3 linked regions of the Yarrowia lipolytica genome follow. The protein of the gene in region 1 binds, or shares a complex with, the protein of each later gene. Links are inferred from orthologs where the notes say so. Each region holds a gene or a part of one and is shown in the gene's direction. Other genes may lie near its edges.

The links.
Region 2: the proteins of YALI1_A14736g (region 1) and YALI1_F02758g are in contact, whole or in part, in a cryo-EM structure (PDB 8ABH), measured with the Yarrowia lipolytica proteins. Residues at the interface, in XP_500073.3 of Yarrowia lipolytica: Met176 (codon at 1,438), Val264 (codon at 1,702), Gly265 (codon at 1,705), Ser266 (codon at 1,708), Glu267 (codon at 1,711), Val268 (codon at 1,714), Arg269 (codon at 1,717), Leu270 (codon at 1,720), Arg271 (codon at 1,723), Asp272 (codon at 1,726), Asp273 (codon at 1,729), Thr274 (codon at 1,732), Thr356 (codon at 1,978), Thr357 (codon at 1,981), Asp447 (codon at 2,251), Glu457 (codon at 2,281), Gly458 (codon at 2,284), Tyr460 (codon at 2,290), Tyr462 (codon at 2,296), Asn463 (codon at 2,299), Arg466 (codon at 2,308); in XP_504875.1 of Yarrowia lipolytica: Trp10 (codon at 876), Trp11 (codon at 879), Gly12 (codon at 882), His13 (codon at 885), Met14 (codon at 888), Gly15 (codon at 891), Ser16 (codon at 894), Pro17 (codon at 897), Pro18 (codon at 900), Gln19 (codon at 903), Lys20 (codon at 906), Gly21 (codon at 909), Ile22 (codon at 1,223), Ala23 (codon at 1,226), Gly24 (codon at 1,229), Tyr25 (codon at 1,232), Thr26 (codon at 1,235), Ile27 (codon at 1,238), Ser28 (codon at 1,241), Pro29 (codon at 1,244), Phe30 (codon at 1,247), Ala31 (codon at 1,250).
Region 3: the proteins of YALI1_A14736g (region 1) and YALI1_E23635g are in contact, whole or in part, in a crystal structure (PDB 1HR8), measured with the Saccharomyces cerevisiae proteins. The link is inferred for Yarrowia lipolytica from reciprocal best matches to the Saccharomyces cerevisiae genes MAS1 and COX4. Residues at the interface, in NP_013264.1 of Saccharomyces cerevisiae: His70, His74, Phe77, Asn100, Ala101, Tyr102, Thr103, Ser104, Arg105, Glu150, Val154, Glu160, Ile180, Leu181, Trp277, Tyr282, Leu286, Gln289, Ala290, Asn294, Gly302, Met324, Ser327, Thr328, Ser329, Gln379, Leu380; in NP_011328.1 of Saccharomyces cerevisiae: Ile8, Arg9, Phe10, Phe11, Lys12, Pro13, Ala14, Thr15, Arg16, Thr17, Leu18, Cys19.

The regions. Positions count from the first base shown.
Region 1 is NC_090770.1:1,472,725-1,475,641, forward strand, and holds YALI1_A14736g (uncharacterized protein), read left to right. Parts: upstream 1-912; coding exon 913-2,337; downstream 2,338-2,917. UniProt on the Saccharomyces cerevisiae protein: Catalytic subunit of the essential mitochondrial processing protease (MPP), which cleaves the mitochondrial sequence off newly imported precursors proteins. Preferentially, cleaves after an arginine at position P2.
Region 2 is NC_090775.1:275,094-277,093, reverse strand, and holds YALI1_F02758g (uncharacterized protein), read left to right. Parts: upstream 1-848; coding exon 849-909; intron 910-1,220; coding exon 1,221-1,441; downstream 1,442-2,000. Other genes in the region: YALI1_F02794g (uncharacterized protein), read left to right, coding at 1-323; YALI1_F02726g (uncharacterized protein), read right to left, coding at 1,795-2,000. UniProt on the Saccharomyces cerevisiae protein: Component of the ubiquinol-cytochrome c oxidoreductase, a multisubunit transmembrane complex that is part of the mitochondrial electron transport chain which drives oxidative phosphorylation.
Region 3 is NC_090774.1:2,362,412-2,364,472, forward strand, and holds YALI1_E23635g (uncharacterized protein), read left to right. Parts: upstream 1-1,071; coding exon 1,072-1,560; downstream 1,561-2,061. Other genes in the region: YALI1_E23629g (uncharacterized protein), read right to left, coding at 1-475. UniProt on the Saccharomyces cerevisiae protein: Component of the cytochrome c oxidase, the last enzyme in the mitochondrial electron transport chain which drives oxidative phosphorylation.

The DNA.
Region 1 (2,917 bases):
ATTTCGTACTCACTGTGATGTGCGTGTTGTGTGGTTAGCTGGCAGAGCTCAGTTTCAGGTAGAGATGTTTCCCCGGTCTTTATCGTATAGTGCGCTGAGTAAGCTTCTTTTGGGGGGCATTTTGCCTCCATTACGGAAACGTTAAATAATGGAACGCCTCCTATTGGCTGCTGGGACGGGACCAGGGACTTTTCCGGTTGGACGAATGACAAAGCTTGTTTAGTGAGATGAATGAAGGATGAAGGCCACACAAGCTGGGATCAGGGTGAGAGAGGGAGCGGGGGGAGGGATGGGGGGTTGGTCACGGTGACCCCTCGCCCCCCCTCGCCCCCCCCCCCCCCCCCCCCCCCCCCTCGCCCCCCCTCGCTCCCCCGGTATGTTGTTTATTGGGCAATTGCGTGTTCAATTGGCTTAAGCGCGACTCTGCTTGTACCAGTCTTCTACTGACAATAATTTGTCACTACCAAGTGCCTACTATACAGTAAATAAGCTTCCAAGGAAAAGTGATTTGACGTGCGGTACAGCAGACGAGGGTTGTGTGGGGCGGTGTAGAGCGGGTTTTTTGACATTGCGGGGCCGGGAGAAGCGGTATATATAGAGCAGGGTGGTCGTGGGGCGGAATGGAGGGGCCAGGGCCAGGATTCGGCGATTTGTAGCCAGTGCTACCCACCTCGTCCGCCGCCAATGAGAAACGCGGGAAAGCAAAATAGGGTTGGTTGGGAGCAATCTGACCACTCACAGGGCGGGAAAAATGTGCATCATGTCTGAGGGAAAGTGGCTTCACCTTAACACGCACTCTCTATTGCACCCGTCCGAGTAGTCTCTCTCTCGCATCGATCGAACGACCCCCTTTTCTCTACTTGTCGCACAACACGGCGTAGCAATTGAAAGACCACAGATCCAACCGACACCATGAACTCTCTTCTGCGACTGCCCGCCCTCAAGCGAGGTGTCTTCACCATGTCCAAGCGAGGTCTTGCCACCACGGTTTCCCCCAAGACTCGAACCTCCAACCTCAAGAACGGACTGACCATTGCCTCCGAGTCCAACCCTCTGGTGCAGACCGCCACCGTGGGCGTGTGGATCGACGCCGGCTCGCGAAACGAGAACGCCTACAACAACGGAACCGCCCATTTCTTCGAGCATCTGGCCTTCAAGGGCACCGACAAGCGATCCCAGCACCAGCTCGAGCTCGACATTGAGAACATGGGCGGCCACCTCAACGCCTACACCTCGCGAGAGTCCACCGTCTACTACGCCAAGTCGTTCAAGGACGACGTGCCCAAGTCGGTGGAGATCCTCGCCGACATTCTGCAGCACTCCAAGCTGGCCGAGTCTGCCATTGACCGAGAACGAGAGGTCATCACCCGGGAGCTCGAGGAGGTCAACAAGCAGTACGAGGAGGTTGTCTTCGACCACCTGCACGCCACCGCCTTCATGAACCAGCCCCTGGGCCGAACCATCCTGGGCCCCCGAGAGAACATCCAGACCATCACCAACACCGAGCTGCGAAAGTTCATCACCGAGAACTACACCGCCGACCGAATGGTCCTGGTCGGAGCCGGAGCCGTCGACCACGACGCCCTCGTCGAGCTCGCCGAGAAGTACTTCTCCCACCTGCCCTCTTCCCAGTCTCCCGTTCCCCTCGGTACCCCCCGATCTTCTGGTGAGGACGCCAACCAGAACCCCATCCCCAACTTTGTGGGATCCGAGGTCCGACTCCGAGACGACACCATGCCCGTGGCCCACATTGCCATTGCCGTCGAGGGTGTCTCTTGGACCTCCGAGGACTACTACACTGCCCTGGTCGCCCAGGCCATCATCGGCAACTACGACCGAGCCGTCGGCACCTCCCGACACCAGGGCTCTCGTCTCTCCAACATTGTGTCTGAGAACAACCTGGCCAACTCTTTCCAGTCCTTCTCCACTTCTTACTCCGACACCGGTCTGTGGGGTATCTACCTGACCTCCGAGAACACCACTCAGATTGACGATCTCGTCCACTTTACTCTCAAGGAGTGGAACCGACTGTCCACCTCTGTGTCCAACCTGCAGGTTGAGCGAGCCAAGTCCCAGCTCAAGGCCGGTCTCCTTCTGTCTCTGGACGGCACCACCTACGTTGCCGAGGACATTGGACGACAGCTCACCACCCTGGGCCGACGAGTCACCCCCGCTGAGGTCGAGGCCAAGCTCGAGGCCGTCACCGAGCACGACGTCCGAGCCTGGGCCCAGAAGACTCTCTACGACAAGGATATTGCTCTGGTCGGACTGGGTCCTATCGAGGGTCTCTACGATTACAACCGAATCCGAAACGACATGAGCATGATGAGATGGTAATTGTTCCCGTCTTTGCATATAGCCTGGAGGCGTAATAAAATAGTCAGAAAGACTTGGAGGACATTGTCGCAGAACGACTGTCACCGATCAGGAAGAATGTAGCATGGGTTGTGAAGCACCATCAGGATATTGGAGTGTAGTGGACTTTGTGAGTAGGGGTACGTCGGTTACCGTCTCCAGGACCATATCTAGTTAGACTGGAGTCTTCTACGAAGTACAGGTGATTGCCTGTTTGGCGCAGTTAGCTACGGCATAATTACATACCAATGTATATGCTGGAGGTCTACAAGATCGTGAGTACAAGCAGGTGCAAGTAGAAGTTGTTTCTGGGTACATTCTGGCTTCAAAGGCGTTATGGCTCCAGTATTTGAAAGGAGAACATACCAACGCTGATACTTCCTTTATCCAAGTCAACAAGAAAGGTTTTTATTTATTAAATACTACAAATTCTAGAAATATTGAACAAACTGATCAGCTTTGGGCACGTTGAACAAGTAGACGGGGTGGGCCGATCTCGGACAGTTGAGAAATAATGAGAAAAACATTGTAAAGGGAGTATCATTGGAATCAGAGAAGATGT
Region 2 (2,000 bases), on another chromosome or scaffold:
ACATTTTCGCGCAGCGAATCCCAGACTTCATCATTGCCTGGTGTCTCAACATGCATGACGCCATGGACAACAGCGAGAAGGAAAGCGCGTTTGTGGGCATGTGCACCATCATCTCGTCCAACCCCCAAGCCCTCGACAACTCCACCCTGCTCATGTTTGTGAATGCCGTGGCCCGATACCTGGAGCCTAGCGAAGCGCTGATGCACACCTTTCGACAGGTGCTGGGTGGCCTCAAGGGCATGCACCCCAATTTTGACAAGGACGTGACCGAGCAGCTGCCTCCCATCATCCAGAAGCGACTGCGTGACGTCTACGGCGTTTAAACTAGACTGTACCAACTACAAGCATGTACACTCCATAGCTACAATCACTTAATCATGCCTGGTGCGGTGGAGAAACGGCTCCCACGGATTAATAGAGCCATAGAGAAATCAAACGATAGATGTATAACAATGACATCAAGAGTATGAACATGTCCTTGTAGAGATGTATGTTGAGGAGTATCGCCTACAAGATTTGTACAAATATATCAATAAGCAGCATCCAATCATAAATCCAGAATGTATGCTTTTCGGGTTCATCATGTTATCGTCAGTTATCATCTCGTTTTACTGTCTCCATATTGTCCCCATATTGTCTCATCATTCAGCTTGCTGCTGACACTGAACCATGCATATTGGAAGTGTTCCATTCGCCCACAATAAGCTTTGCTCCCAGCACACCACAGTGATGCTCCCCAGGGTTACCCTACCGTTCCTCCCAACAGCCAATGGAATCACACGGGTATCTTTCAAAGCCAAAGCTCACGAAAATCATCTCACCTTCACTAACTAAACACATCTATCAAAATGGGAGGCAACGGACACTACATGGGATGGTGGGGACACATGGGCTCCCCCCCTCAGAAGGGTGAGTACAAGAAGACAGGATGAGGCCTTGCGTTATTTATTGGACGCTATTCGACACGCGATGAGGGCTTCAGGACAACAATGGTGCGTGATGATCAGGCGGTGACCTACGTGGACAACATACCACATCAAGAGTGTGTTAGAGGTGATCAATGATATTGGTACAACCAGTCCACTACTACAACCGACCCAGGGCCAACTTGGTCCCTTTGTGGTCGAATTGAGGGTCTAGTAAAAAGTCACGCGCAAGATAGACAAACCATCACCACACACCAGTCAATCGTCACTCCTTCCCCAATCATACTAACTCAGGTATCGCTGGATACACCATCTCCCCCTTTGCTGCTCGACCCTTCGCCGGTGTCGTGCACGCTGCCATCTTCAACACCTTCCGACGAACTAAGAACCAGGCTCTCTTTGTCATCCTGCCCGTCTCTTTCTTCTACTACGTCTGGACCCAGGCCTCTGAGAAGAACGAGTGGCTCTACACCAAGGCTGGCCGACACGAGCTCGCCAAGGCTCTTGCCGAATAAGCATAGAAATACATATTAAGATCGACATCGTGGATTGTACGTAGAGGTCACAGCAGTCCCCTGAAGTGTGCACTGTATTGTAGTTAATCAGGTCATATTAAATATGCCTTGTATTGGTCATGATTAGACACTGCAAAAACGACTTACGATAATTCTTCCGTTGTATCGTATCTCTCGTATCACACATACAATCATACAGTGTCCAGAAAATCAGATGTTAAACACGGAAAACAACACATACAGTACAGTATAACCACAAAGAAAAGCTGTACAAGTATCTTAGATATACATTCTACTGTAGCCACAGGGAACAATAACACACAGATGAAATACACTCAATAAATATTAAATAGCTAGTTTTTATGTGGCGTCACCTTGACACTCTTCGAAACCGTGGTGGACTGACCCTTGTGGAACAGCGGCAGATCATACTTGAGTACGCCGCGAACAATGAGCTCAAACGGCTCGGAGCAAATCTTCTTCCACCGCTCTTCCGGAGTCAATGGCTCCTTGTCCTTGTCGCCCTTGTCTTTGTCAGGTACCCGCAGCATCAAGGGTA
Region 3 (2,061 bases), on another chromosome or scaffold:
CCTGACTCCCAACCCTAATCCTATTGCTCAAAGTGGAAAAATGACATGTTATTTTAAGGTTTCGCAGTCGGCCCACTCTGGCGCGCTGTGATTGGCTTAGCTCGGCTAACAAATCATGTCCCAAACTTTTAACAGTGTGTGATACGATTTCAGTGTTGGCTTCCACATAGCACCTTTCGGTACATTCCATATTTTTGCATAAAGTGGGTATTGAGATGATAAGGCGGATATTGTGGGGTGGACGAGAGAGGGGAGGATGTGACTCGGGCAATGTCACCTGTGAACAGACACGAGTCTTGTGTTTTTTGAGCAAATATCGACAAGCTACAGATGAGCAAATGAGATGACAGGGAGAGACCCAGGAAGAGGTGGAGATGACGAAAACAAAGACGATTGCGGGATGGATGGCACGACAGTTGTGGTGACGACGTGGAGAGTGTCGTGGATTGACTTGGAAAGTGTCATGGGGAGACATCGGGAGTGTCGTAGGGAGACGCGGGCAATGTGATGACTACATGCAGCGTATAACGAAGGAGAAATCGAGACCGGGGATGTCGCTATGTCGCTGAACTTGACTATTCGACCATTCGACTATTCGACATTGTGATGCACTTTACTAGTCGATGCCAGTCACTTCGCACTTAGCACTTTCAATGCATCAACCCTCTGACGTTTCCACCGACCCGTTACCTAATTCCGCACTCTCAGAACAGCTCAAATCAAACGACACAAAGATTTCGCAGATATCACAATTTCACGGATACCACTGAACCCCTCGAAAACGTGTTTGTGACACACCTGTGGCTGTGGCTGTGGCTGTGACGTGACTCCGTGTTACGACTAAGTGACGTGACTTATGTCATCATCAACAGATGGTGACAGCGTCAAATGCCATTTACCAGTTTCACAGCAGTTACTCTCAGCTGTGGCTGTATCCCGTACCAACGTATCCAAGCCGATTCATCATGAGATGGATGGGTCTGTGAGTTTGTACCAGACTTTTTGCACACCACGCTCTCACTCTACTGAGTCCACCACGCTTATGTCTCCTGTGCTTCAGTACTAACCCAGATGTTCGCCCTGAGAAGATCTCTGCTTTCCGCAGGCCGAATCGCTCGACCCCAGCAGGTTGCTCGATTCTCCTCTGCCTCTGCTCTCCTGCAGCACAAGGCCGTCAAGCCCGCCGAGAAGCTCTCCGAGGTCACCGGCCCCGAGTCCCTGATCGGAACCTCCGCCGCCCCCGGCACCGTGCCCACTGACCTCGAGCAGGAGACCGGTCTGGCTCGACTCGAGCTGCTCGGTAAGATGGACGGTATCGACATTTTCGACCTCGGCCCCGTCATCCGACCCCAGCACTCCGTCAAGGGCACCCCCGACGACCCCATCTGGGTCCCCACATACGACAACTCCCGAATCGTCGGCTGCTCCGGTACCCCCCACGGCTCCCACGAGGTCCAGTGGTTCCACGCCGGTGTCGATAAGGTCGGCCGATGCGACGAGTGCGGCGCCGTCTACCGAGCTTATGAGCTTGGCGCCGATGAGGAGGCTCCCCACCACTAAGGCTATGTATGTTAACTGAACAAACTGAGAGATTTGTCGCTTGTGCGTTGAAACCGTAGCGACATGCGAAAGAGAAACAACCATGGAACGTACAAACACAGCGTCTGTGTTGTTTTACAGAGGAAACCCGCTGTATCACCGCATGAGTAGCACTGTGGATGTAGACTGTAGGGTGCGGACGGGTGAATCTGAGAACCCACTGTATTATTGTGATACTGTAGAAAGTACGAGTACCTTAGTGGGACTGAGATGTAACCCTGAAGGCGACACTTGTTCGGACGTCGAAAGTCACGACACACCATGGGTGGATGTAACACCACCGTAGTTCTTAGCACCGTCATCTGCTCAGCTGTGAGACTGCCGACACGAGTTTTTCCAGTCACAACTGGAATGACACCGCTCACCGAGAGTGATCGATACAATGAATGGGTAGGCTCAATGGGTAGGCTCAATGGGTAGGCTCAATCTCAATGAGTAGGCCCAATGGATAGCTACCTTTTC